Linked DNA regions of Ovis aries. The protein of the gene in region 3 interacts with the protein of the main gene of each other region in a pairwise test. Links are inferred from orthologs where the notes say so. Each region holds a gene or a part of one and is shown on either strand. Other genes may lie near its edges. The genes, in order: TNNT1, MYBPC3, TRIM63, MYOT, CKM, TCAP and GMEB1.

Region 1 (3,500 bases), on a different chromosome or scaffold from region 3:
GTGAGCCTTTGTGGGTCTTGCCTTGCAATTTCTTTCTGCTGCTTGGATGTGCTGGCTGGAGCGCCAGCAGCCACGTTGGACCACGAAGTGATTTGGAAAATGGATGTTGGAGTAAAAGTAGTGGAGCAGAAAAATAGGGGGCTGAGTCTTTCATTGTTTTGTAGAATTGCCACACCCTCTGTGGACTACAAATCTCTTCTACGTAAGGAAACAAACCTCTATGTTTTAGGCTGCTATAGTCGGATCTCAGTTATCAAAGGCTAAGCTTATTCTGAACTGACAAAAAAGTCTACTGCCTTGAGCCATTAGAGGATGAGAGAACAGGTATAAAGTGCCTGGCGCACAGTAAACACTTGATAAGCTAGTTGTTACGACTCTTTTTATTCTTACTAGTATTCTGTGTCTTCTTTTTCCAGTTAATGGTTTTCTTTTGCCAGCTAATGGTTTTCAAATGCTCTCTCTTCTGTGGTGTATTTTATTTTAAATTTTTCTAGACCATCATATGCTCTCTATTGAATAAATAAAACTTAAGTAACTTGACATCCTCCAAAAATATCAGCGGACCCAAACAAGGAGCAGACGTGTGGTGTAGGGTGGAGAGCGGAGAAAAAAAGGAACATTCTCGACACACTATTTAGTCCAGGCCCCGCGATGTTTCCTGGGAGGGAGGGGGCTGGAGTCGACTCTGAATATCCATCTCCAACTCTGAGTGCAGGGGTCTGAAATCAGCGTCCTGGGAGCATTTACACCATGGAAATGAGCAGACGCTGAGATGTGGACTTTTAGCCTCTGGAGACCCACTTGGGAAGCATTTACCATCATAGTGAAAGTGAAGTCGCTCAGTCATATCCGACTCTTCGCGACCGCATGGACTGTAGCCTACCAGGCTCCTCTGTCCATGGGATTTTCCAGGCAATAGTACTGGAGTGGATTGCCATTTCCTTCTCCAGGGGATCTTCCCAACCCAGGGATCAAACCCAGGTCTCCTGCACTGTAGACAGATGCTTTACTGTCTGAGCCACCATGCCTCTTCGTAAATACGGGATGAAGAACACAGACTACCACCCCAGACTTCCTGGGTTCCAATCCCCACTCTTGTGCCTGCAAGCTGTGCAACCCTGGAAAGGTTCTTTAACCCCTCTGTGCCCTTTTTTGTTTGTTGGTTGCTTTAATGTTCTGGTTTGTTATCTCCAGCCTGAGGGGATAATAGTATAATGGTATCTACCTCACGGAGCTGCAAGCCCTCCACACGGGGCTACTGCTCGCTGACACTGCTCTGCTCTGTGATGTAGACTGTTATCACAGCCTCCTTTTACCAGTGAGGAAAGCAAGGCTCAGCGGAGGTCAACAACTGCCTCAGATCACATAGCTTAAGCGGCGGAGCCGGCGCTGACCCCGGGCAAGCAGTCTCCAGTACTGAGCTCCAAGTCCCCTCGCTTCGCCGCCTCTGGGGTGGCAGGTGTTTCTGACTTTAAGGGGCGTGCCTGGGCGCTTCAGACACAGAGGAGGCCCCCCAGGGAAAACCCTCCCTGGCCTTCCCTCTGAGGGCTTATCCTGACAGGCAGGCTGTGCCCCGAGTGAGCTGTGAAGGGAGAGACGGAGCTCCCACCAGAAAAGGTTTGCCTGGGAAGTTGTTGCCAGTGTGTCTGGCTTTAATTCAGGCAGAAGATGGAGCCCACTTGGAATTCCCAAGGGACACCATCAAAACAACATTATCGCCTCAGTTTTGGTCAGCCCTGTGGTCTGGTTTCCTATCATCTCCCAGATTCTATAGGTCTTGGCACCAAAAACATAGGTCCTACATCAGTGACACTCCACAGGGGAATGGCCCAGAGAGGGGGAGACGCCTGCACAGCGACACAGCGCCGGGGCCTCCGCCCACTCAGACCTGGGCCAGGGGCCGCCCATCTGCCTGTCTGCCACCCGGGCCCCTCCCGCCTACCGGAGCTGCTCTTCTCCCATGTGGTCGATGTTCAGAGGCTTTTTACGCTCAGACAGGATACGCACTTTCATCTCCCGCCCCGTCTGGCGCTTCCCTCGCTTCTGTTCTGCCTGAGGGTGGGAAGGGGGCACCATGAGGTGGGGGGGTGGCTCCCCAGCCCCTCCCCCTCAGACCCGGGGGTCCAGGCCCCCAGCCTCTCCTCCTCAGACCCCAGCTGCCTCCCCCGGGACCCCAGACCTCAGGCCCCAGCAGGCTGAACTCACCTTGACCAGGTAACCCCCAAAATGGGCACCCATGTTGGACAGAACCTTCTTCTTCTTGGCGTCGTCCTCGGCCCGCTTCTTGGCCTCTTCCTCTTCCTTCCGCATCTTCTCCTCCTGTGGAAAGAACGGGGTTCATCCCTGGGCCTCCCCCACCCTGCTGGACTGAGAGGGGAGGGCGCCTGAGGGGGCGTCAGGGAGGCCGATTCTGCACTGAGTGAATCAGGGGTCGATCAGACTCAAGCATGAGAAAGTGAGTGTTAGTCGCTTCAGTCATGTCCGACTCTCTGCAGCCCCGTGAACTGTAGCCCTCCAGGCTCCTCTGTCCATGGGATTCTCCAAGGAAGAACACTGGATGGGTTGCCATTCTCTTCTCCAGGAGATGTTCCCAACCCAGGGATCAAACCACGGCCTCCTACATTGTAGGTAGATTCTTTGCCATCTGAGCCACCAGGGAAGCTCATGAGAGACAAGGTCAATATCAGAACAGACAAGGATGCAAACACTTCCTCCTGCCCCTTTCAGGCCTGGGTGTGTGACCACCGGCCAGTTCTTCATCTTCTCCGAGCCTTAATATGCTGCCCCTGCCCCCAGGAAAACTTAACCTGGCGGGGTCGGCGGTGGGGGTGGGGGTGGGGATATGCTTGCTTTTCTCTGCATGCTCCAGCCTGCAGTGGCCAGCGGTGATCTTGCTGTGTGACCTATGTATAGGTACCTGCCCTCTCTGAGACTCACTCTCCGTTAGTCTCATGAGAGGAGAACAACTGTCCTCAGAGAGGCAAAGAGGGTAACTGGTCATGGGAGTCGGGGAGGGCGCAGAGTCAAGAGCCTGAGGAAGGGGCTCCAGAATGCCTTCACTGAGGCGTGACCACATCCGGAAAGTCTGCATTGTACAGAATTAGAGGCTCGCCCCGACCAAAGCCCTTCCCCACTGGAGGGACAGGCAAGGTGTGGGGCTTGCCCATAATTCCCCACCTGAATGAGCTTCCTCTCACTGCTGTAATCTGCAAACACAGTGGCTTAAAGCAATGTCAGTTTATCACCTTGTATTTCTGCAGGTCAGCCTGCAGTGGGTCTCGGGGGATAAGCCACGGGGCACACAGCCTCCTTCTAGGGCCGTGAGGGGAGAGTCACTCCCTTGCCTTTTCCAGCTTCTCAGGGCTGCCTGCATCCCTTGGCTCAGGTCCCCTTCCTCCGGGAGACCAGTGCTTTGTCTACCACAGCACCCAATTTCTGTTCTTTAAAAGTGGTTTGAGGGACTTCCCTGGTGGTCCAGTGGCTAAGAATCTGCGCTTCCT
Region 2 (3,500 bases), on a different chromosome or scaffold from region 3:
AGGGGTCGAATCCATGTCCCCTGCGTTGGCCGGTGAATTCCTAACCACTGGACCACCAGGGAGGTCTGAGAAAACACTCTGCACACCATTGAGCCAGGGCAGGGCAAGAGCTCCCTGGAGCCCTGGCTGGGGTGTCTGGTGAGGCAAGGGGTGCGTGGCCCAGCAGGGTCCCTTGAGCCACCACTGCCCTCTAGGGTCCACAAGCTGACCATTGATGACGTCACGCCTGCAGATGAGGCGGACTACAGCTTTGTGCCGGAAGGCTTCGCCTGTAACCTGTCTGCCAAGCTCCACTTCATGGGTGAGCCGGTGTGAGGGGCAGAGGGGCCCCTGCAGCTGGGCCTGGCCTGCACCCTGGTGCCACTTGCTCTTCTGTCTCTTGCAGAGGTCAAGATTGACTTCGTGCCCAGGCAGGGTGAGTCTTGGGCCCCGGCTTGCTGCCTCCCCCCACCCCGCCAGGGTCTCCTCTCCACTCAGCAGAAGCAAGGAGCTGGGAGTCGGGACCTGGCTCAGCCTGAGGCCCAGCCTCAGCTCTGCCACTCTGACCACAGGCCAGCTGTGGTCTATCTCAGCCTCAGTGTCCTCACCTCTAAAATGGGGACCCTGAAGTGGCTCCCCAATGGGGTGATAGGAACGCTGACCTAAGGTGGTATGTGTGAGCTTGCAGAGGACATCACAGTTGTGGGGTTTTATTATTGAATCTTTTTTGCTTTTAGAAGTACTTCTCCTGCATTTAGGTTAAACTGTAATCAGGCATTTTAGGATCTTAACTTCAGGAGACTCATCCAGGCTGAGGCAGGCTCCAGGTCAGGGCTTTCCAAACAGGGTTCATTAAGTTTGAGAAACTCTGAACCGTCCGTCTGTCTACTGCTTGTTGATTCGAAAAGTGCATTGGCACGTCAAAGGCTCTGAAAAGTCCTACTCAACTTGGTTTAACCCAGGGTTTCTTAAATATTTTCCATGGAAATTTTTTTTTTCTAGGAAGACACTGGTGTTCCCCCAAACACAATCTGAGAAATGCTGTCCTAGGTGACCCAGTGTTCTGAACCTCCCTGGGGCTTCCTGGGCAGGTGTTGATGGGCAGTGGTTACATGGGGGCATGTTCATCAGCACTCGTTAAGCAGGGTGCTCAAGTGTTGGCGTTTGATTGTATGCAAACTATACCTCGATAAAATCAATTCAGAAAATAAACCAGCACCCAGGGCATGTGCTTCTTCCAGTTGCCCCTTCTTTCAGAGGCCTGGGGCCCTTTTCTTCTTTCTCTGACCTGTCCTATCTCCCTGCCAGAACCTCCCAAGATCCACCTGGACTGCCCAGGCCGCGTGCCGGACACCATCGTGGTGGTGGCCGGGAACAAGCTACGCCTGGATGTCCCTATATCCGGGGACCCTGCTCCCACTGTAATTTGGCAGAAGACCATCACAAAGGTACTGTGGACCCCTCCCCCCATGCTCCTGTCTGTAAAGTGGGTGCATGGGCCCAGCATGCTGCCCACCCCACCTGCGCATGCCTTACAGCTGGCCGAGGGTGGGCAGAGACAAGGACAGGGTGCTTGGCCGGGTTCCCTCCAGGCCAAACCAGACCTTCCTCCTCCTCCCTCCCTCCTTCCTTCCCGTCCTGTTTCCAGGGGAATAAGGTCGCAGCAGGACCAGCCCCCGATGCATCAGAGGAATCAGGTGCCGGTGACGAGTGGGTGTTTGACAAGAAGGTGAGTGAGGCTGGAGGAGGCTCGTTTGCCTGCAGTGAGTTTCTGTCCACGTGGTGTCCACCCTCAGGCGAGGTCTCTGCTGAGGTGCCCCATCGAGCCAGCTGTGTTCCTGCCCCAGGCAGGGTCTCCACCCTCCACACCCCAGGAAGTCCTCCGGATTTGGGGGCTTGCTGGCTCTTGTCTTCCTGAGGCCGCCTTGACTTTGTGCTCCCTCCCCGCGGGGGAGTGGGTCCCTGGCCCTATCCGGTTGGATTCGCGGCCGGGGCACCGCTCCTGGCTTTTCCTCCTCCTCCACGCTGCTGCTTCCGCTGCCCAGCTGAGGTCTTTTGAGATCCTCACAGTAATTGTGTGAGGTCCTTTAGGTCAGAAAGGGAAACTGAGGATGGAGAGGACAGGTGACTGCCTGACCTTCTGTGACAAAGCGAGGGCCGTGCTCCGGGCAGGTGGTGGGAAAGGGTCTTGGATTAGATGCTCACACGATGCAGTTTCCACTCAGGCTGTGCCTCCCCAGCAGACCCGGGCTGAGCTCCGTGCCCACCTCAGGGCTGTCGGTGGCTGCAGAGGCTGCAGGAACCCCTGGGGTCTGACTTGAGTACCCCCCACCAACTTCTCCCCCACCAGCTGCTGTGTGAGACAGAGGGCCGGGTCCGAGTGGAGACCACCAAGGACCGCAGCATCTTCACCGTCGAGGGGGCTGAGCAGGAGGACGAGGGCGTCTACGTGGTCACAGTGAAGAACCCTGTCGGGGAGGACCAAGTCAGCCTCACGGTCAAGGTCATCGGTGAGGCGGGGGTCCAGGGGAGAGCACGGAGGGAACCAGGGAGGACCGGTCTGTTCAGTCCTTTAGTGTCTCAGCAGACGTCGCGGGCCCCTCTCAGATCCGTAGACCGGGTTGGGACTTGGACCTGGGGGCACACAGGCAGTGGGGAGCCATAGCGGGTTGATTGCAGGCTGGTGACCTGATGAGAACCGCATTCTGTAAAGGTGGTGTTAGGCTGTGGGGGCACGGGGGAGCCTGTTGGTTAGGGTGGTGAGGGGATGGGCACCGGTGGCCCCGGCTAGGCAGAGCACATGAGGGTCCACTCCCCTAGATGTGCCAGATGCTCCCGCGGCTCCTGAGATCAGCAAGGTGGGCGAGGACTCGTGCACGGTGCGCTGGGAGCCACCAGCCTACGATGGCGGGCAGCCGGTCCTGGGTGAGCTGAGGGCATGGGACCGAGCCCTGGGCGGGGCACGTGGGACGGGGGTGGGCTGAGCTGCAGGCAGACCAGCGTGCCTGCCTCCCCTTTCAGGGTACATCCTGGAGCGCAAGAAGAAGAAGAGCTACCGGTGGATGCGGCTGAACTTTGACCTGCTGCGGGAGCTGAGCCACGAGGCGCGGCGCATGATCGAGGGCGTGATCTACGAGATGCGGGTCTACGCAGTCAACGCCGTGGGCATGTCCAGGCCCAGCCCCGCCTCCCAGCCCTTCATGCCCATCGGTGAGCCCTGCCCCAGGCCGCCACGGCCAGGGCGCAGTACCCACAGCTGCCCTGTGGGCTGCGTCCACACCCCTCGTCTTCCTTCATTCCCGTCATCTCACAGGTGAAGGAAGGGAGGCTCTGAGAAGTAAATGACTTGCTTGGGGAGCCCAGCTGGCAGGGGGTGGAGCTGAGACTCACCTCTCCAGCCTCACTTTTCGCATCTGTGAAGTGGGGGTGATGACGATGTCTGCTTCACAGAACTGCTGTTAAGATGAAGTGAGAGCGCGCAGGGGCAGCATCTGGCGTAGATGTTTCTTTCTCCTGTTCCC
Region 3 (4,026 bases):
CTGATTCGAAGAACTGACTCATTGGAAAAGACCCTGATGATGGGAAAGATTGAGGGCAGGAGAAGAAGTGGGTGACAGAGGATGAGATGGTTGGATGGTATCACTGACTCAATGGACATGAGTTTGAGCAAATTCTGGGAGATAGTGAAGGACAGGGAAGCCTGACGTGCTGCAGTGCACAGGATCGCAAAGAGTCTGACTTTGCCTCTGAACAACAACTTCTACCAGCCGACATGGAAGATGGTCCAGAAGGATGTGGAGAAAATTTTAAATTGGTGCGGAAAGCAGAGGGGAATATTTGGATAATGTCTAAGTGGGTACATGGTCCTTCGGGGCACTCCATGACAGTTATTTGTGTCTGTCTCCCTTCCTAGCCTGTGAGTTTCTCAGGGCAGGGAAAAGGCTTCCTCATTTATCTCTCACTTTGTTGCCTGATGTATAGATTGTCACTGTTGTTTAGTCGCTCGGTGTCTGATGAATGAATAAGATTTGTGGCTTTGCCACTTACTTCCCAGATTACTTTGAATAAGATCCTTTCCTTCGTAAACTTCAGTGTCAAAATCTATAAAATGAGGAAACAGACTCTGTACCAAGGGAAGGAACCCTTGTATTGAAATGGAATTAGGGACTTCCCTGGAGGTCCAGAGGTTAAGACTCTACACTTCCACTGCAAAGGGTGTGGGTTCGATTCCTGGTTGAGGAACTAAGATCCTACATGCGATCCAGAAAGAAAAAAAGAAAAAATATGGAATTAGCGGCCAAGGAATGGAGGGATGGGCTAGCCCTGGTTGGGGACATCTCAGGGTCTTTAGCAGTGTGCTGTGCTCAGGGGTAGGCCTTATCTGGGGAGTTGCCCAGGACTCCAGAGAAGGGGATGGATTTATTTAGGTCAGTAAGAGGGCACTGGCTGTTAACCCCACAAATCCCAGTGGCCCCCTCACTCCTTACCAGCCTGCTGTAGGAGGAGACTAATTTTTGGAGGAAACTCTGGGTACCAGTCCTGCCCCAAGCCTGCCCACGAACAAGCTGTTCTTGTTTACGACCCCCGTCCTGAGGGAACAGCGACTGCTCATCCTTACATGTGATCTGAGAGGGTTGGTCTTTCAGGCCTGGCGGAAACTCAAGCTTCGCCAGCCACTTGGCACCGGAATGTTCAGCTGGTCTCCTCCTGGGGCTCATGTGACCAGGGCCCAGCTATAAATATCAGAGGGGCCTCAGACCAAGGCAGAATTTAGGCGCCAGGAGAAGAAGGCAAAGAGGCTCCAGGCGGGTATTCTGTGACAAAGACCCCCAGGTCTGCTCAGAGCAAGGCAGGTGAAGGAGGCAGCCAGGTGGGTCCCCACATCTGTCCCCAGGACAACATGGATTATAAGTCGAGCCTGATCCAGGATGGAAACCCCATGGAGAACCTGGAGAAGCAGCTGATCTGCCCCATCTGCCTGGAGATGTTTACCAAGCCGGTGGTCATCTTGCCGTGTCAGCACAACCTCTGCCGGAAGTGTGCCAACGACATCTTCCAGGTCAGTGCTGGGCCTGGCGTAGAACTGGGGCTCCAGGCAGCTACTTAGTCTTCCTGTGATGAAAGCTAAAAGAAAACTTCTCTCTTAGTCCAGAACCCTTCCAAACTGGACTTGTTTTTAACCCCCTCACAGTGAACCCCTGCCGAAGTCTCTGGAAGGGGTCGATGGGGCTGGGGAGGTGGCTCTGGCTGACCCATTCCTTCTCCATGACGCACTTGTCCCCTCCCCACCCTGCCTGCAGCTACCCCACCCTGTCCTGAGCACCACAGTTGACTCTCCAATCAGGAGTCAAATGCCTCAAGTGATAAGTGGGAGAGGCAGGCAGAAAGGAGAGAGAAACCAGACCCCAGGGGCTGGAGCCAGCTCCGCGGTGGCAGGGGGCCCAGATCTTTAGGAGGAGGGTGGCTGAGAGGCACTGGACAGTAGAGGCATCTTCCCCTTGAAACTGTTTCCTATAATGGGGAGCAGGAGGGGCTTCATCTCCTTAAGAAAAGAATGGGAGTGGGTGTCCATACTGGCTGAGAGACAGGCCTCAAATTTCCCCAGAAGCACTTTACAGAATGGTCTCTATTTTTTCTTTAAAGTAGCAACTCTAAGAGCTGGCTCTAATTACATGCCCATTTCATGAATGGACAAACTGAGGCTTGGTGAGAAAAGGTTGCTCACCCAAAGTCATTCCGAGAATTACTCTGCCTTGAGCCTCGGTCTGCTGACCTCCAAACCTGTTGATTCCTTAGTTGCTTCTCAGGTACTCCCTGTGTAAGTGGGCTGCCTCTCTCATATTAGGAAAGAAAGTGAAGTTGCTCAGTTATGACTAACTCTGCAACCCCATGGACGGTAGCCTGCCAGGCTCCTCCATCCATGGGATTCTCCAGGCAGGAGTACTGGAGTAGGTTGCCATTTCCTTCTCCAGGGGATCTTCCCAACCCAGGGATCGAACCCCGGTCTCTGGCGCTACAGGCAGGCTGTTTACCGGTCTGAGCCGAGGGAAGCTTTAAGTCATGTGGTTTGATGAGAATGGTGGTGGTAATCAATGGGGAAGACAGTCGGAGCTCAGAAAGGGAAGGAGCTGAGGGGGAGCCCCGGCCTCACCTCCACCCCTGTCGCCAGCAGGCTGCCAATCCCTACTGGACCGGCCGGGTTGGCTCAGCGGCCATGTCTGGAGGCCGTTTCCGCTGCCCCTCCTGCCGCCACGAGGTGATCATGGACCGCCACGGAGTGTACGGCCTGCAGCGGAATCTGCTGGTGGAGAACATCATTGACATCTACAAACAGGAGTGCTCCAGGTCAGTGCTCCCTCCACGGGGAGGCCGTCAGCCTGCCCCGGCCCATCCTGGGAGTCCAGCGCTTCGGAGCCCCATCCTCCTTCACCTGCTCTGGATCCAGGCCCCTAGCTGGAAGAGCTATGCCAGTTAGTCCAGACAGCTGTCTCCCTTAGGCATGAACAGAGGCTCATCTTATCCCCCAGCCCTGGCTCTCGGTGTCATCCAGTGAGTGGCAGGGGACCCAGACATTAGGCTGTCCTCCTAGGAGATACTGAGAACAAAATCAGGGGACAGATGAGATGTGAGAGGGAGAGTGAGGGAGAGGGAGCCACTGGGCCAGATAGGTGGCCCTGATGAGCAGAGAAAGCGTTCAGTGAGAACAAAGCCAGTTTCTCTATAATGATAACAGCAGTGCCAAACACCAGGAATGCTTCCTGCTGCTGCTTCACAGCAGTTCTATGCATTAGCAGGGCTTTCATCATCCCTGTTTCATGGAGGAGGAAGCTGGGGCTCAAAAAGGTAAAATCACTTACCCAGAGTTTCGCAGCTGAGAAGGAGAATTGCTGGGACCCAGCACAACCCATCTAGCTCCAGCTCTCCCTGAATGTGAAATAGCCACTCGTTCTTGGGCAGAATGTGTGCCTGGTGGAGGTTGTGCCGTGTTGGGGAGAGATAAAGCTACCAAGGAGATCTTTACTGATCAGCACGTCCTGACAAGAGGCTGCTGCCCTCACGGCCCTTGCGGTCCCACACCCTCACCAAATACGTGCTTGCAGGCAGTGTCCTGTGCCCCCAAAAGCCGACAGACTAGTGCTTGTCTGAGAAAGCTCCAACCAGAGAACTGTGTCCTCTACTCTGACTCTGCTACTCACGCACTGTAGGGTCTTGGGTGAGTCTCTGGGCCTCTATTTCCTCTGTCTCCAGAAACGGACAGTAAGAGTTGCTATTATGACTATCAAATAGGATGTTGATGGGAAGTGTTCAAGATGGCAAGTATTTATTGAGCATCCACTGTGTGCGGTGCTGCACTAAGCATTTTCCATGCATTATCCCCATTTTAATTCTCACAGTAATCCTTTAAGCCATTTTTACCCTCATTTTCTGATGAGAAAACGGAGACTCAGAGGTCTGTCCGAGGCCACTCAGCTAGCAAGTGGCGAAGCTGAGAAGGAGCCTGTCTGACCGACTCCGTGGTGAACATTCTTAACTGCTACTGCCTCTCATGTTGCCGGAGTTCAACA
Region 4 (4,133 bases), on a different chromosome or scaffold from region 3:
TTAAGTGGCTCATTTGTGCTCAATTATCTATTTGTTGGACCCTGATGTACACAGCAATTACATCAAGGCTGGAGTATCCATGAGGGTTGTTGTTCAGTCACTCAGTCATGTCCAACACTTTGTGACCCCACGGACTGCAGCACGCCAGGCTTCCCTGTCCATCACCATCTCCCAGAGCATGTTCAAACTCATGTCCATTGAATCAGTGACGCCAACCAACTATCTCATCCTCTGTTGTCCCCTTCTCCTACTGCCCTGTCTTTCCCAGCATCAGGGCCTTTTCTAAGACCATGAGGGAGGGGAATAAATAATTATGTTTTAAACAACAGAATCATACCAGAGCTAAAGCCACTAAATATGGATAATTCCAATTGATTAGCCTGATCCTCATGTCACCTACCCCTCTCTACCACCTCTTGTTGATCTGAAGCTTTCTTCATAATTTTATACTTCTCTGCATACACACACACACACACACACACACACACACACACACACACATGGAAACATAAAAGGCTAAGATGGTCTCCTTGGTGAAAAGAGAAAGGAAACTGTGTTACTATAAGGAGTAAGGAAGATAAAGAGAGCTAGAGGACAGGGCCCTAATTGTAAACACTGCTTGATGGGTAGTTTCTTAAGTGTTTCAACTCTTTTAGAATAAAAGTATAAAGGTATAAGGTCAATAAAAGTATAAGGTCAAGGATCTGTATGCCATACAGATTCAGAGAACTTGCTATACAGACCAAATCGTGTTTTTCCACTTCCCCACCTTCCCAGTGACATGACACCATCATTCTGCTCTTGCCTTTGCCTAGACACACTCCCTCTCTTGAAACAAACTGCTTGAATCCCACTCCACCTCTCCTTCCATTTGGCAAGAGAGGAAAAAAAGAGGTCTTCATATGAATAGCTATCTAACAGAAATCAATTTGAAGCCCATCCATCAGTGGTCTTATTTCTGGAGAAGTCTTAGTAGTCAGGTGTCAGTCTTAGAATACTATTTCCCTTTCAGTCCTTTTTTCAACAAGGAAGATCAAAGCCCCCATCACAAAAAAAAAATGAGTTTTCTCTACACCTTTTCCCATTTCTCAGTTCTTTGCTGTCCCCCCTACATGTGCTTGCTAAAGCTCCTAGTCAAAGTTCACATCTAAAATAAAGAGGCTTGCAAGAGAAGCTCATGTAATCCCACTCCTTAAATATCACTAAGACATCTGAGATATTGTTTATCGTGGACTCTTACTTTGACATGCCAGCATAGGTAGATGGACAGGCAAGCACATCAGATGTCACTGCTTGGCAGCTGATAAAAGTCAGTGGTGCTATAATACTAAGCACAGAGCCACTAGATTAGTCTGCGAAGGAAGGGGATGCCTCTTCCTTCCCTTTAGTAGTAGGTTTAACCCAGCTGGCACTCTCTGGACTCGGGTAAGTCCCTTCTTTATTCCTGCTTCAGTTTTGGGTTTTGTTTTTGTCTTTTGTCCAAATCAGAACAGTATGTAAAAGGTGATTTTCAGATAAAAAGTTCAAAAGCCACAAGATCATAATGGCATTATACAAAGATTTGAAAAGAATGAGACCTGTTCATTCCACTGAAACTATAAGGCATTAAAAAAGGTAGAAGGAAAGATAGTTGTGTGTCATTATTTTTCAATCATCAGTTTTCTTTGAAAAAGGACACCTGGCCTAACTGTAACTGTGCAATGTTCTATAGCTTCAAAATATCCTCAGTTTTCTGTTTAAGTTTGTGGTATATTAGAGATAGGGGGAAAAGTTAAGATTTTTCTAAACAGGAGAGTTAATAGAACTTTACTAATAAAATCTCTGAAATTTATTTAACATTATTTGGAATAAAATGATACTGTCATAAAACAAGGATTATAGAACTGATTGTTGAACAGTAACTACAAACACAAAGAAAAACCTTCCAGAGTTATCTGCATGAACATCTGTACAAAATTTTCTTCAGACATGAAAATGAAACATTTGAAAGAATATATTTTAATTGAATTTTTTTAAAAATAACAGTAATTGTTAACTATGTAAGCTGATATCAAAATGTACAAGACAGTTGACATTCTAAAAATACACGTAAAGTAAAACAGGGAACTTTCTGGAAAATATCTACTGGCTATTTGTTTAACAGTTTATTCCTTGCTATTTGAAATTAATCTGAATGATCTGTCAGCCCAAAAAGGAATTTAGAATCAAACACTGGATTCAATTCTGCAATGGAGTAAACCCATAGTATAAAACTACTTGCCTTCAAATAGTCTCTTTTTTTAAGAGTATCTAATTAAAGCCTCCTTTTGGATGTTTTTCTCCAGTAATTTCAAGGCTTAATAATAGTTAATTACTAAAATGCACCCTAGTTGAATGTGCTTGTGTTCATAAATTCAAAATTAAGAAATATATGACTTTTCAAGTGCCTTTTTCAATAGAATCTTTCTCTTGGCTGTTTAGTTGCATTTTTTGTTCTTTCCTAAAACTGTTTAACTCTAAACTATACATACAACCTGAAAATCAAGTTGATGGGTTTAGAAATTTTTCACTAAAAATGATACTTTATTCAAGAGAGGACATTAAATAATTATAAGACTATGATTCAATGATGACAATTTGGTAATTTTACTAGCTAAAAGTTTGATTTATCATTACCTCAGTGTTGGTTTATACTATATGAAGCAAACTAAACATATTCTGAACTAAATTACTTGATATTTTGAATAATAACAGAATCCATGTTAAAACAATTTATGGGGCTAGTCTTTTTGTGTGAAGTATATATATAGTCCTTCCCAGATTTACCATACTAATGGAAAAAATCAGGTGAAAATATGTCTTTGAGGCTGATTTTAGTGGCAAATGATCCATCAAAGGAAAAATGGGGACCTACTGTCAAAAGTCAGGAGTGCCAATGCACTGTTAAGTAAGAAAAATGGCAACCACCTTTTCCTGGAAAAGTATAGGCTAGCTTCAAAGCTGCCTTAATTCCTTCTGTACATCCTGTTTGCCACTTCACAAGAAAAAAATAATACAGGAATGAAAGCAATTTCAAAATTTAGTCTAAAATACATACTAAACACAAAAATAATTTAAAGTGAAACCAAATAATCAAGAGAACAGCAAGACCAATAACTAGATAATAAAATCAAAAAATAACAAAAACTACAAAGGGTTCTGGAATACAGTAACTTATATACATACAGAGATACTTGAAAGCAGTCACTCCTTAATTATCATCTAGTTTGGTACTATGGTCAATTGGGAATCAAAGGGAGAAAAAGAGGCAGTGAATTATAAGGTAAAACGAAATCCACTCATGGTTGACAACAGTGAAGTACAGGCGTTTGCTGTACTTTGTGAAATTGTAAAAGGATGAAGGAGCAAATATGAACAGTAATGTTCTTTAGAAAAGCAGCACACTGCTCGCCTGGATTCACCATGTGATTCATCACAGATCACCAAGGCATGAATTAATGGTGCATCAGAAGAGCTGTTCATTGGTATTGATGAGCAATGGGAAGAATTCAAACTGAATAGAAGCTAATATATTTAACTGTTAATAACTTTAAATCAGTAACTCTCTGTGGCTAATGAAACTGCAGGCTTTTGTCAAAAGCTAAATATGAAATAAAATTATCACACTGAGCAACATCACAAATTTTTTTTTCATCAACAAACACTTGGCGAACTCAAAATCAAAACTTTTCCTACATCTTGAAGCCCCCAGGTGTGCTTGAAGAATCACCCAGAGGCAAACAAACACTAATGAATTATTTTTTCTTATTCCCAAGTGGAAGTCATTTGTGCAAAGGCAACGCATAAAGGAATGGAAAGTCTATAAGCCAGAAAAGTTCCACCTTGAGATGACTTTGAAAGTACATAAGCTTTAAGAAAAAAAAGCACATAAACTCCTAAAGATCTTAAACAGTACCATTTTTATGTAAATACTGTAACTGAATCACTTTCTTCTTTTGAAGGAACAATATTCTTCAAGAGAAGGCCACTCCATCAAAGCCAGGAGCACTGTATTCCCAGGATCTCAACAAGGAGGCACAGACCAAGGTCGCTTCTGATTCACTGCAACCTTCTGTAATTCCAGGCTTGCAGACCCAGATTCAAGACCCCACCCC
Region 5 (3,423 bases), on a different chromosome or scaffold from region 3:
AGACCACTACAGCAATTCTCCAGGGTCATCTTGCCCTCCGCTCCTGCCTTCCCTGTGGTCTGCATGTCACATTTTAAAAAGCTTGAAATTCAGATTTGAACCAGACTCCTTAGGTTCAAATCCCAGGGCTGCCATTTACTAGCTGTGTGATCTTGGGCACGTAATTTAATGTTTCTCTGCCCCAAATCTCCATCTATAAAATGGGATCGTGATAATCCATAGCTCTTGGGGTTCTTATGAGGATTAATGAACTAATTTATGCAAAGTGTTGAGAAAAGTGTCTGGTATATAGTAAGTATCCATACTGGCCATTGGCATGATATTTATTGCTAATTATTGTTGTTAGCTGGGCTTTCTAGTAATTTTTTAATCCCTGATTCTGATGAAAGTGAAAGTTCCTCATTCGTGTCCACTCTTTGTGACCCTATGGACTGGAATTCTCCAGGCCAGACTACTAGAGTGGGTAGCTTTTCCCTTCTCCAGGGGATCTTCCCAACCCAGGGACAGAACCCCAGGTCTCCCACATTGTAGGCGGATTCTTTACCAGCTGAGCCACAAGGGAAGCCCAGGAATACTGGAGTGGGTAGCCTATCCCTTCTCCAGAGGATCCTCCCGACCCAGGAATCTAACCTGGGTCTCTTGCATTGCAGGCGTATTCTTTACCAACTGACCTATCAGGGAAAATGCCCCCGCCTTCATTCTGATAGTCAAAGGTTTTAAAAGGTTTTGAGAACCTCGGTTTCAAACAATTTGGAGAGTATAGGTTGTAAAATTTTAAGTGTTTTCAGGTTCCACTAATGTCAGATTTTGTGATTCAATGGTTTCAAACATTTCCAGATCCTAAAGTTTTCCAGTCTAAGACTCCTTCTGCGATGCCACAATGTCATGGAAGGTTTATCAACTCTGATTCTCGGTTTCCGTTTTTCAGCGATTCTGATATTCTAAGATTCTATAATATTGTGCAAAGAATTAAGACCCTGAAAGCCACTGATCCCACGATTCAAGATTTCACGGGTCCTGTGACATTTAAAGGTGTAAGCTCCTGAGACTGAGATGCTCAGGCCTCGGGCCCTTTAGGCCCGCTGCCCCCTAGCGGTGGCCGTGTGTTTGCAAGAGGGAGGGGAACCGGGTTCCCGCGGAGCTGGTTCCCTGACCTTTTGCTGCGCCCGATGCTAGGCACAATGACAACAAGAGCTTCCTGGTGTGGGTGAACGAGGAGGACCACCTCCGAGTCATCTCCATGGAGAAGGGGGGCAACATGAAGGAGGTTTTCCGCCGCTTCTGCGTGGGGCTGCAGAAGGTGGGTGCCCGCCCTCGTGTGACTCCAAGTGACCGCCCCCCCAGCCGCTTTCCCGGGCCCCGCCCCTCGGAACCCGGCTCCTCCCCGCACCGAAGCCACTCCCCTCAGCGGTGCTCCTCCCTCGCTTTCCAAAGCCCCGCCCTTTGGAAAACCGGCCCCACCCCTATCCTCAAGCCCCGCGGACAAGAACCGGCCTTCAAGGCATCCTCAAGCCCAGCCCCGTCAGAATCCAGCCATCACTTGTGCGGTCGGGCCCCTGCCCCAAGAATCTCGTGTCTCCAGGTTTTCCAGACCCGCCCTCTCGGAGTCCTACCACCACTGACATTCTCACCCCCTGTCCCTCGGAGCCCTGCCCCGGTTGTGGGTGCATTTGGGGGCACCCACAGGGCTGATCCCGGGTCCTCTCCCCCTACCTCAGATTGAGGAGATATTCAAGAAGGCCGGCCACCCGTTCATGTGGAACGAGCACCTGGGCTACGTGCTCACCTGCCCATCTAACCTGGGCACCGGGCTGCGGGGAGGCGTGCATGTCAAGTTGGCGCACTTGAGCAAGCATCCCAAGTTCGAGGAGATCCTCACTCGCCTGCGCCTGCAGAAGCGAGGCACAGGTACGGCCCAAGTTCCCTCCTGCGGCTTCCAGCGCTGGCCCTTAGCGATGGCTGAAGGGAAGCGGGGGCATCCCCACGGGTTCTGGGGGGCGGCAAGGGCTGCTCCTCTGTGAGTTTCAGTCCTTCCTCTGAAAATAGGCTTCAGCACGCCTTATCTCAGAGAAGTCCATATACCATCATGGTTATATGGTTAATATACACTGTGTATGTCCCTGGGCGCCTAGGGGCCTCACTTTCCCATCTGTAAAGGGGAAGATGGTCAGGATTCGACCCCAGGCAGCCCGGCTCCTGAGCTCAACTCCGTTACCCACAGTGTTGGATGTTTGAGGGGTGAGATACCTAAAGCCAGCCCGAGAATAGACAGACGCTCAGGAAACTGCATGAATTTAACACAGTAGGCATTCACCCAGGACGTCCGCCTGCGCGGTTGGCACGGCGGCCCGCGTTCCAGGCCCCGCTCAAGCATTTCTGCCGGCTCCTTAGCCCCTGCCTCCTACTCCCGCAGGTGGTGTGGACACGGCTGCCGTGGGCTCAGTGTTCGACGTGTCCAACGCCGACCGGCTGGGCTCGTCCGAGGTAGAACAGGTGCAGCTGGTGGTGGATGGTGTGAAGCTCATGGTGGAGATGGAGAAGAAGCTGGAGAAGGGCCAGTCCATCGACGACATGATCCCCGCCCAGAAGTAGGCGCACAGCCAGCCCGCCGCCGACTGCTGGAGCCCCACCCTAAGGGAGGACCCAGCCCACCGGAGGCCCGCCCCTTCCTCCTGGAGCCCAGCCTATAAACGTTTGGTCCACCTGGGGCTCTATCTATCCTTCTAGTTCCAGTTCCAACCAGAGTTCCAACCAATGGGCTCCAGTCTCTGGGTTCTGGCCAATGAAAAACCTCCCTTACGGTCTCCTTTTTTTTTTTTTCTCAAAGCTCCGCCCACCATCAGGAGCTCTGGCTAACGGAGCTCACCTTGAGCTGTTGCTTTTTCTCCACTCTAAGCAACAAATAAACGCAATGGTGGCCTTAGCGTTCGGTTTGATTGTTATTAGTACTGAAGGAGAAGGAGAAAAAACTTCGGCAGTTGGCTACTGTGTGACCTCAAAGCGGCTTGTCGTCTCTAGGCACGTCTTAGGGCTACACGTTTTATCCCATCTCTAAAGTGAAAGCGTTAGTCGCTCAGTCGTGTCTGACTCTTTGCGACCCCATGAACTGTAGCCCTCCTGGCTCTTCTGTCGGTGGAATTCTCCAGGCAAGAGTACTGGAGTGGGTAGCTGTTCCCTTCTCATCTTTTCCCATCTTTAAAATGAGGCAAGTTCAGGGTACAGCATCTAATGAAAACATTACAAGGCTCTATGGGGAATCTGCGGTCCCGAGAGCTCTCAGTCACCTCTGCTCCTGATCACTCATGCTCAGATCTCAAACACAGGACCCATTCTAGGGAGAAACGGACGTCAAACAAAATATCTGAATTTGCCCTCCGGGCCTCTGGTTTGAGACCTTGCATGCATCTCATCACTACCTACTTC
Region 6 (3,177 bases), on a different chromosome or scaffold from region 3:
GTTAAGGTCTCCAGCCCAGGATGGGGAGGCGGGAGGTAGGGGGAGACCTGGAAGGAGCCAGAGTAGGCCTCAGCTGATACTGGGGTCTGAAGGTTTGGCTGGGAGGAGCCTGGAGGCGAGGCCTGGGCTTCTGGGTCACTGAGGCACCTCTGGGCTCTGCTCACCTCCTCTCTCTGCCCGTCACACTTGGGACCACCAGGAAATGGCCCTCCTTCCCTCCCTGCAGGCTTCCTGAGGTGCTAACTTGCATAGACTCAGGGGTGGGGGTGTTGCCTCTTGGGCCCGGCTAGGCATGTGACCCCGGGCAGGTCTGCCTGCCTGAGCCTCCATTTCCCACTTTGCTAAAGCTGTGTAAGATGAAGGCACCAAGGATCGGGTATAGTGCTCAGTAATCAAGAGGGTGCCCACGGGCCTGCCTGCTAGGGTCTCATCACAGCCTCTGCCCCTGGCCTTCCTGGTGCCCTTTGCTTTGTCCACTCAGTGACACCCCCGCTGCTCCTCCCCCACGCCCTCCTCCCTGTGTGCCAGCCTCCTGTCGCACACACTGCTGCTCTGGGGGGCGGGGCTGTCCCTGCAAGCCCTTCAACTGGCCTGCTCCCTGGGGACCAGAGCCAGGCCCCGCCTGGTGGCACCTTGGAGCTGGCAGCCCCCAGAGCTCTTCTGGTAAGGCCACTGTGAACAGAAAGTGAGGAAAACGAGGCCCAGAGGGGGTGGATGCCGCCCCCTACTCCACAGCCTCATTATGGCTGATTTGGGGGCTGGAGCCAGAACTGGCTGCCACCCACTGGAACCGCTGGAGTCCCATCTCACCCCAGCTGAGGAGTGGGGTAGAGTCGGGGGCCGCTTCCCTCCTCGTTCGTGTCCAGGATCCCAGGGGTGGAATTAACTTCCGATGCCCTTGCCAGTGAGGTGGTGGCAGTTGGGAGCCAGGCCTTTGGGGGCAGACGCCTGAGGAATGGCACTGTCCCTTTTGGTGGGGGGGCACGGTCCAGGGGGTGATGTGCCCTTGAGCCCAGGCAGAGGAGAGCAGCGGGGACAGGACCTGACGGCCTGGTACAGCGCCCAGAGGGGCCCTTGGTTCCTACTGTTTCCCGCTCTGTTTACAGACATGTCCTCCCTGGGCGAGGGGAAGGGGTGGGGCAGACGGCAAGTGCCAAGGTGGCACGAGGCTGGGCATGTGCCTGGTCATGGGTAGTGTCTTGAGGAGTGTCAGACACCTGGAGGTGTCACTCTGGGGACCCCCGCCCCCACGGGAGCATCTTGATCTCCTCAGAAGCTGACCTCTGACCTGGGGGCAGCCAGAATCCGGGTACCCCCCCCCCAGCCCCGCCCTGGGCTCAGAGTCCCCCATCAGTGAGTCTTGGCTCTGCTTATAGCATCTGACGCCAGAGGGGCTGAAAATAGCCCCTGAAAGAGGGGGAGGAGGGGGATATTTAAAGGGCCTGGGAGGAGGAGAGCCCAGAGGGAGTGAGCAGCCATCATGGCCACTTCAGAGCTGAGCTGCCAGCTGTCGGAGGAGAACTGTGAGCGCCGAGAGGCCTTCTGGGCGGAGTGGAAGGATCTGACGCTGTCCACAAGGCCTGAGGAGGGGTGAGTGCTGGCCAGTCAGGAGTGCCCCGTCCTCTCCCTCAGAGCACCCTTCCTGAGACTCAGGAGACCAGAGCACAAGGCCTGAGGGGTTCTGGGGGTGGGGCCCAGGAGGGTGCCTGCTGGGGAAAGTGGAGTCGCCCCTCCAGCAGCCCCAGGGAGCTCTGTCGCCCCGCCGGTGAGTGGCGGGCAGCAGCTCTCAGGGGCTGAGTGTCCCTCCGCTTCTCCTTCCCAGTTGCTCCCTGCATGAGGAGGATGCCCAGCGCCATGAGACCTACCACCGGCAGGGGCAGTGCCAGGCGCTGGTGCAGCGTTCCCCCTGGCTGGTGATGCGGATGGGCATCCTCGGCCGTGGGCTGCAGGAATACCAGCTGCCCTACCAGCGGGTGCTGCCTCTGCCCATCTTCACTCCCGCCAAGGTGGGCGCCACCAAGGAGGAGCGCGAGGAGACACCCATCCAGCTGCAGGAGCTGCTGGCACTGGAAACAGCCCTGGGAGGCCAGTGTGTGGACCGCCAGGACGTGGCCGAGATCACCAAGCAGCTGCCTCCCGTGGTGCCTGTCAGCAAGCCCGGCACCCTTCGTCGCTCCCTGTCTCGCTCCATGTCTCAGGAAGCACAGAGAGGCTGAGAGGGACTGTGACTTGGGCTCCACTGTGCCTGCCCTGGGCTGGGCCCTTCCTGGCTAGGACCATGGAGGGGAGCTGCTGGTCACGGATGCTTCGTAGTTTGCCCAGAGTTGGGGGCTAGGGGAGGAGGGAGCCAGAGGCCAGGATGCCTGGATCTCCTGAGTTCCCGGAGGGAGGGGAGCGGACGATGGGCACAAAAGGTGAAGAGCTGGGGGCCAGCACAGCCAAGTACCCCCAGCCCTAGGAGGAAGGGCTGAAGAAGCTGATGAGGGCAAGAGGTTCCTGAGAGGAGTAACCCCAGTCCAGATTTCAGCTTCAGAAAAGGATGAAGAAAAACTGTAAGAGGATCTGGAGTGCTCTGGGAAGGAGACTGGAGGGAGGGGGACGTGAAGAGGGCAGAGGCAGGGTGGAGCCCCCAGCACCCTCTGTTAGTGCTGCAATAAATGCTCAATCACGTGCCAGAGTTTCGTCTCTTTCCTTGTGGTTGAGGGGCCCACCCATTGGTGTCCCCCCCAGTGCTCACTTCTGGGAACAGGCCCTGCATCTCAGCTAAATATGGCAGAATTAGTGGGTCACCCCATGCTTGAGGGGAGGGGCTGTAGGGACAGAGCTGTAAACAGGGTGGCTATCTGCCTAGTCCCCCTGACTGCCGTGAGCCCTGGCCTCTGCCTCTAGTCCTCTGGCACTGTGCAGTGCCCAGGAGGCCAGTTGGCATCCAGAGTTTATTGAAATGATCTCATGGAGAATAAGGAGGGGGCTGGCACCAGGACTGTCAGCTGTGCCAGGGTGTGGATGGGGTCAGTGACCCCAGGTCTCTTGGTTCTGAATCCAGACAGAATCAATCCTTGGCTGGGGTCAGGTGTTCCACCCTCCGTGGCCTGGGAGCCCAAGGTGGGTTGTTGGGGGTAGGGTGAGTGTGTAGAGGGTCAGGTTCCTGTCTGTGACCTCTGCAGCTGTTGCAGT
Region 7 (4,205 bases), about 2.2 Mb from region 3:
AGCCTTGACTAGATGGACCGTTTTTGGCAAGGTTATGTCTCTGCTTTTGAATATGCTGTCTAGGTTGATCATAACTTTTCTTCCAAGGAGTAAGCTTCTTTTAATTTCATGGCTGCAGTCACCATCTGCAGTGATGAGCTTTGATAACCAAGCCTAGAATCCAGGTTGTCTAGCCCCCAAATCCTTTTCTATTGTCTGACTCCTGGGCTGCCTCGCCTGTTCTTGAACCAAGAGCCTGTAAAACTTCCTGTTACTTCCTCATGATACAGAACAGAGATGTGAGTCGTAAGAGCAGGCAAGATGGGGAAGCAACTCTTTCCCCCCAACTCAAAAAAGTGCCTGCATACCACCACCTCATTCATTCTTAATAAAGGTAGCAACCATCTGAGTGCTCATAACTACACATTCCACAGAAAGAAGGACCTATAGAATCCTGGCTATACTGCTTACAAGTTTGGTGACCTTGAGGGGTTCATTAATTTCTCTTGGCCTCCTGTGTTTTATCTGTAAAATGGGAGTGAAAAGAAACTACTTAGTAGAGTTGCCAAGAGGATTATATGAGATAAAGGAATCTTCTTCAAGGTCCGGCCAAACAAAGGTCTTCATTTTTTTTTTTAAGCTAATTTTATTTATTAGCAGAACAGATCTTATTTCCCTGACCAGAATCAAACCTGTTCCCCTCGGCCCCCCTCTTGGAAGCAAGGAGTTTTAACTAGTGGACCTATAGGGAAATTCCCACAAAGGTCTTAATATTTGCTAATTATTACGACTGGCCCCAGGAACTTTCCTAAGCATTTTCAAGTATCACTTGTTTAAACGCTAGTAACAATCTATGTCCTAGACGAAATAGGGGCTTAAAGCTGTCAAGTAACCCCCAAAGAATTTATGGGTTCTGACTTGAACCCAGAACCAACTCGCAGCCAGAAAAGGCTTGGCAAACATGCATGCGTCAGAGAGGGCAAAGGAGTTTGCTTACAGACTCTATACACAACCAGATCTTTTGACTCCAAACTGGTAGTTGGATCATCACTTTTGAAAAGTCTGGTAAATGTAAGCTTCATAACCGGATCTGAGGAATGAAAGGGGGCACGCAGAGTCCTCCAAGGGGAGTCCTGCCTTTGTTCCCGATTGCGGATGAGGTGTCTTTAATTTAGACCACGTTTTCCTCATCCATGAAGTGGGGTTAGAAGAGTTATTAGGGTCCCTGGCGTCCCTACCAACACTAATTTTCCAGAGCAGGAGCTGCTCTGATAAAGGCCCCAAACTCTCCGGCTGAAGTTCATCCTCCGCGGGCTGGCAATAGGGACGCGTCCCCTTTAAGGCTCCAGCTCGCCGGCGGCGGCGGCCGGAAGTGTTGAAGCCCGGCCTGGCGGCGGCGGTGGCGGTAGCGGCCGTGGCGGCCTCTGCGCATGCTCCGTCGCCCGCCCGCCCTGGCCGCTCGCCGCCCGCCCGCCCGACGGAGACGGTGAGGAGGGGGAGGGGTGGGCGCTCGGGCGCGGGCGCGGGGTGGGGTGGGGGCGGGGGGGCGGGCGCGGGGGCCGCGCGGCGGCCGGCGAGGGCGGGCGGGCGCGCAGGGGGCGGGGGGCTGCTGCCTCCGCGGGCGCCTCCCCACGCCCTGTGCGTGCCGCCGCCGCCGCCGGGGAGCGAGCGGACGTCGCGGCGCCGCGGGGGGGTGGGGGGACGCTGCCGCTGGGTCCGCCTGAGCAGCCGGGCCGCCCCCAGCGCGGCTGGCCGCGCCGCTCGGGTCCGGCCCCCGGCCGAGAGCGGCGGGGGGCCGGCGAGCCTGGCACTGGGGGGCCCCGGCGCCTCCGGACCGAGGGGCCCGGAAGTCCTCTGCCGAGGGACCAGGAAGGGCCGGAGCGACTCCGGACTGAGAGGCCCTGACATCTGGGACCCCGGGGAGGGGTCTGGGGATCCAGGGGGTATCCCTAAAGGCGGGATCCGGGGAGCACCAGGCCCTTTGATGAGGAGCTGGGGATGAGGCCTGGGTCGCGCTCGGGCTAGGGGGTAGTGGTGAAAGGAGGGGGCGGCGAAGAGTGAAGGAAGCCCGCTGCCTGCCCTGGAGGACCTCTCGGAGCCTTGGGGTTGGCAGCCAGGGCAGACAGTGGGTTCTGCTGAGGAAAAGAGTGTCCAGGCTTCACCGGGGGCGCCTAGAGGCCTCGGCCATTCAGCCCAGGGGAAAAGAGGCAGGTGCTTCCCTGAAGGCACAGTGACAGGTCCAGTAAGCAGGGGACAAGGAAGAAGAGCTCCAAGGGAAATTGAGCAGGCCTCTACCTTCTCCTAGATGAGGGGGCGGTAGGAAGACACCTCAGAGCCTCCAGAGGAAGGAATGAGAAGGGTCCAGATCTGTGAGGGAATAAAAGAGTTTGGAGTACCTCATATAGGTAGAGAGCAGGGTGATGTGGCCTGTTGTGGATGGGGAAACCTGAGTTTTTGAGGGCCGGAGAGATGATTGTTGGGAAGAAGGCTAGCATATCCCTGCTTTCTAAAATGACGGGGGAATCGGCCTGGTGTTTCCTAATTGAGGGGCAGGAGAGGTGAGAGCAGACTCTTGAGGGTCCTGGCGTGTGATCCATCCGGACTAAGACACGTCAAGTCTTGATCATGGGAAGCTTTGGCTGTCTTAAGGAGGAGGAGGAGGCATTCTCTCAAGATGAGAGAAATTCAAAAACAGTTCCTAACAGACACAAACAGGGGCCTTAACTCTTGTTTATTTAGGAGAACCAAGAAGTGGCATTTTCCTCCTTAACCTGGAGGATTAAGGAAAGAGAGGATCAGCTAATTTTAGTCTCACAGGATTCTTTTCTCTCTCTTTGCTTATGGAACGTTTGGGGAACTTTTTCATTAAATTGTTGGACTGACCTAATTTTTCAGCCTTTTATCAATTATGTGTATTTATTGTCTACTGACGACTTTTTTCATTAGTTACCTGTTAGTTGCTTACTCGTGTTTACAGCAAGCATATTGAATAGCCAACTTGTACTCAGCTTCATGGGGTTAGTTTGGGCTGTGTTCTTGTCCTAAGAAGAAATCTGCTCAACTGTAGTAGGTTGACCCTTCAAAAAACCCTTTTTGCAATTGCTTCTCCAAACACCTTCAGAGTAGTCACTATTAAGTGATTCATCTGAAACTTCACTTGCTCCGGCTTTTTACCTCAGTGGTCCTGTGTAGTGATCTGTTGGCTTCCTTACATCTGGTAGTGCCCTAGATCACCTAGGGAGTTACCATGAAACAGAATAAAGAAGGGAAAAAAAGGAGTTTTGACCTCATGTAATAATAAAATTTTTAAGTTGGAAATTTCTTAGAATAGGCTACATAGTCTACCACAATTAAAGTATGAAACAAATACATTTTGGAGTTAGAAAATTTCAGGATATATGGTATTTCTATGACTCCCTCTCAGCTACCAACTGTCATGTTCCTATGATCATGTGACACTTGTGCTTACATCTATCTTGCCGTGTTTTTTAAACTTTTCAGAACACAAAAATGAATTTAATCCAGAGTAGTTCAGCTATCATTGATTTAATATTTTGATAGTTTACGTGAATAGTCATGTAGTTAATCTCAAGGTGTCTGTCTTGTCTTTGAAAATAACTACAAATAATTCTTCCTTTTCTCAGAAGTTTGACATATTTCCCTTATGTGTGTTCTCCTAGAATTACAGAGTGTTGTGTGATTCCACAATGAATACTCCAAGGTCCCATCCATGAAATACCCAAAGGAGCAACTTACTCATCTTCCCTTAGTTTTTGTTGCTATAAACAAGAGCCACTTTTCAATTTACACTCAGCTCAAAGAAATGACCTTCCAATTAGCCAGTGTAGTCTGTAGAGGTGGTTAGGGTTTCTTGCTCAAAATATGGTATTTAGGGTAGTAAGAGATATTCAACCCAAACTTGCTTCTCTGAGGAATGTAAGAATTGCCATGTGGGATCAGACCTGTGTCTCTGACTGACAATGAGAGACTTACTGTGGATGATTATAATTATCTTTTCTGGTAAACTCTCAGAAGGTTAGAGAAGCAGCCATAATATTGCTTTTGAGTTCCAAGGTGTGGGAGGGGTAAGAAGTAAAATACGAGTTCTTATTGAGGAAAGTATTAATCAAGAAGTTAGTCAACCACTTATTCAGAGTATTGTAGAAAGAGGACTCAACCTTAGGGTAGAAGGTTGAACTAGAAGCATCCTTCTAATTTTGCTTTTC

Evidence for each region.
Region 1: the proteins of TRIM63 (region 3) and TNNT1 interact in a two-hybrid assay, tested with the Homo sapiens proteins (2 studies listed by BioGRID and IntAct). The link is inferred for Ovis aries from reciprocal best matches to the Homo sapiens genes TRIM63 and TNNT1.
Region 2: the proteins of TRIM63 (region 3) and MYBPC3 interact in a two-hybrid assay, tested with the Homo sapiens proteins (2 studies listed by BioGRID and IntAct). The link is inferred for Ovis aries from reciprocal best matches to the Homo sapiens genes TRIM63 and MYBPC3.
Region 4: the proteins of TRIM63 (region 3) and MYOT interact in a two-hybrid assay, tested with the Homo sapiens proteins (2 studies listed by BioGRID). The link is inferred for Ovis aries from reciprocal best matches to the Homo sapiens genes TRIM63 and MYOT.
Region 5: the proteins of TRIM63 (region 3) and CKM interact in a two-hybrid assay, tested with the Homo sapiens proteins (2 studies listed by BioGRID). The link is inferred for Ovis aries from reciprocal best matches to the Homo sapiens genes TRIM63 and CKM.
Region 6: the proteins of TRIM63 (region 3) and TCAP interact in a two-hybrid assay, tested with the Homo sapiens proteins (3 studies listed by BioGRID and IntAct). The link is inferred for Ovis aries from reciprocal best matches to the Homo sapiens genes TRIM63 and TCAP.
Region 7: the proteins of TRIM63 (region 3) and GMEB1 interact in a two-hybrid assay, tested with the Homo sapiens proteins (2 studies listed by BioGRID and IntAct). The link is inferred for Ovis aries from reciprocal best matches to the Homo sapiens genes TRIM63 and GMEB1.

Annotation. Positions count from the first base shown.
Region 1 is NC_056067.1:63,060,610-63,064,109, reverse strand, and holds part of TNNT1 (troponin T, slow skeletal muscle), read right to left. Parts: intron 2,320-3,500; coding exon 2,206-2,319; intron 2,053-2,205; coding exon 1,943-2,052; intron 1-1,942. UniProt on the Homo sapiens protein: Troponin T is the tropomyosin-binding subunit of troponin, the thin filament regulatory complex which confers calcium-sensitivity to striated muscle actomyosin ATPase activity.
Region 2 is NC_056068.1:76,112,156-76,115,655, reverse strand, and holds part of MYBPC3 (myosin-binding protein C, cardiac-type), read left to right. Parts: intron 1-194; coding exon 195-301; intron 302-385; coding exon 386-415; intron 416-1,287; coding exon 1,288-1,427; intron 1,428-1,627; coding exon 1,628-1,708; intron 1,709-2,329; coding exon 2,330-2,489; intron 2,490-2,799; coding exon 2,800-2,904; intron 2,905-3,000; coding exon 3,001-3,189; intron 3,190-3,500. UniProt on the Homo sapiens protein: Thick filament-associated protein located in the crossbridge region of vertebrate striated muscle a bands. In vitro it binds MHC, F-actin and native thin filaments, and modifies the activity of actin-activated myosin ATPase.
Region 3 is NC_056055.1:240,758,646-240,762,671, forward strand, and holds the start of TRIM63 (E3 ubiquitin-protein ligase TRIM63), read left to right. Parts: upstream 1-1,226; 5' UTR 1,227-1,361; coding exon 1,362-1,520; intron 1,521-2,633; coding exon 2,634-2,806; intron 2,807-4,026. UniProt on the Homo sapiens protein: E3 ubiquitin ligase. Mediates the ubiquitination and subsequent proteasomal degradation of CKM, GMEB1 and HIBADH.
Region 4 is NC_056058.1:46,995,438-46,999,570, forward strand, and holds the start of MYOT (myotilin), read left to right. Parts: upstream 1-1,333; 5' UTR 1,334-1,425; intron 1,426-3,980; 5' UTR 3,981-4,133. UniProt on the Homo sapiens protein: Component of a complex of multiple actin cross-linking proteins. Involved in the control of myofibril assembly and stability at the Z lines in muscle cells.
Region 5 is NC_056067.1:52,741,457-52,744,879, reverse strand, and holds the end of CKM (creatine kinase M-type), read left to right. Parts: intron 1-1,176; coding exon 1,177-1,300; intron 1,301-1,718; coding exon 1,719-1,908; intron 1,909-2,413; coding exon 2,414-2,592; 3' UTR 2,593-2,923; downstream 2,924-3,423. UniProt on the Homo sapiens protein: Reversibly catalyzes the transfer of phosphate between ATP and various phosphogens (e.g. creatine phosphate).
Region 6 is NC_056064.1:39,784,825-39,788,001, forward strand, and holds TCAP (telethonin), read left to right. Parts: upstream 1-1,460; 5' UTR 1,461-1,480; coding exon 1,481-1,590; intron 1,591-1,822; coding exon 1,823-2,216; 3' UTR 2,217-2,677; downstream 2,678-3,177. UniProt on the Homo sapiens protein: Muscle assembly regulating factor. Mediates the antiparallel assembly of titin (TTN) molecules at the sarcomeric Z-disk.
Region 7 is NC_056055.1:238,529,968-238,534,172, reverse strand, and holds the start of GMEB1 (glucocorticoid modulatory element-binding protein 1), read left to right. Parts: upstream 1-1,405; 5' UTR 1,406-1,465; intron 1,466-1,677; exon of another isoform or gene 1,678-4,205. UniProt on the Homo sapiens protein: Trans-acting factor that binds to glucocorticoid modulatory elements (GME) present in the TAT (tyrosine aminotransferase) promoter and increases sensitivity to low concentrations of glucocorticoids. Also binds to the transferrin receptor promoter.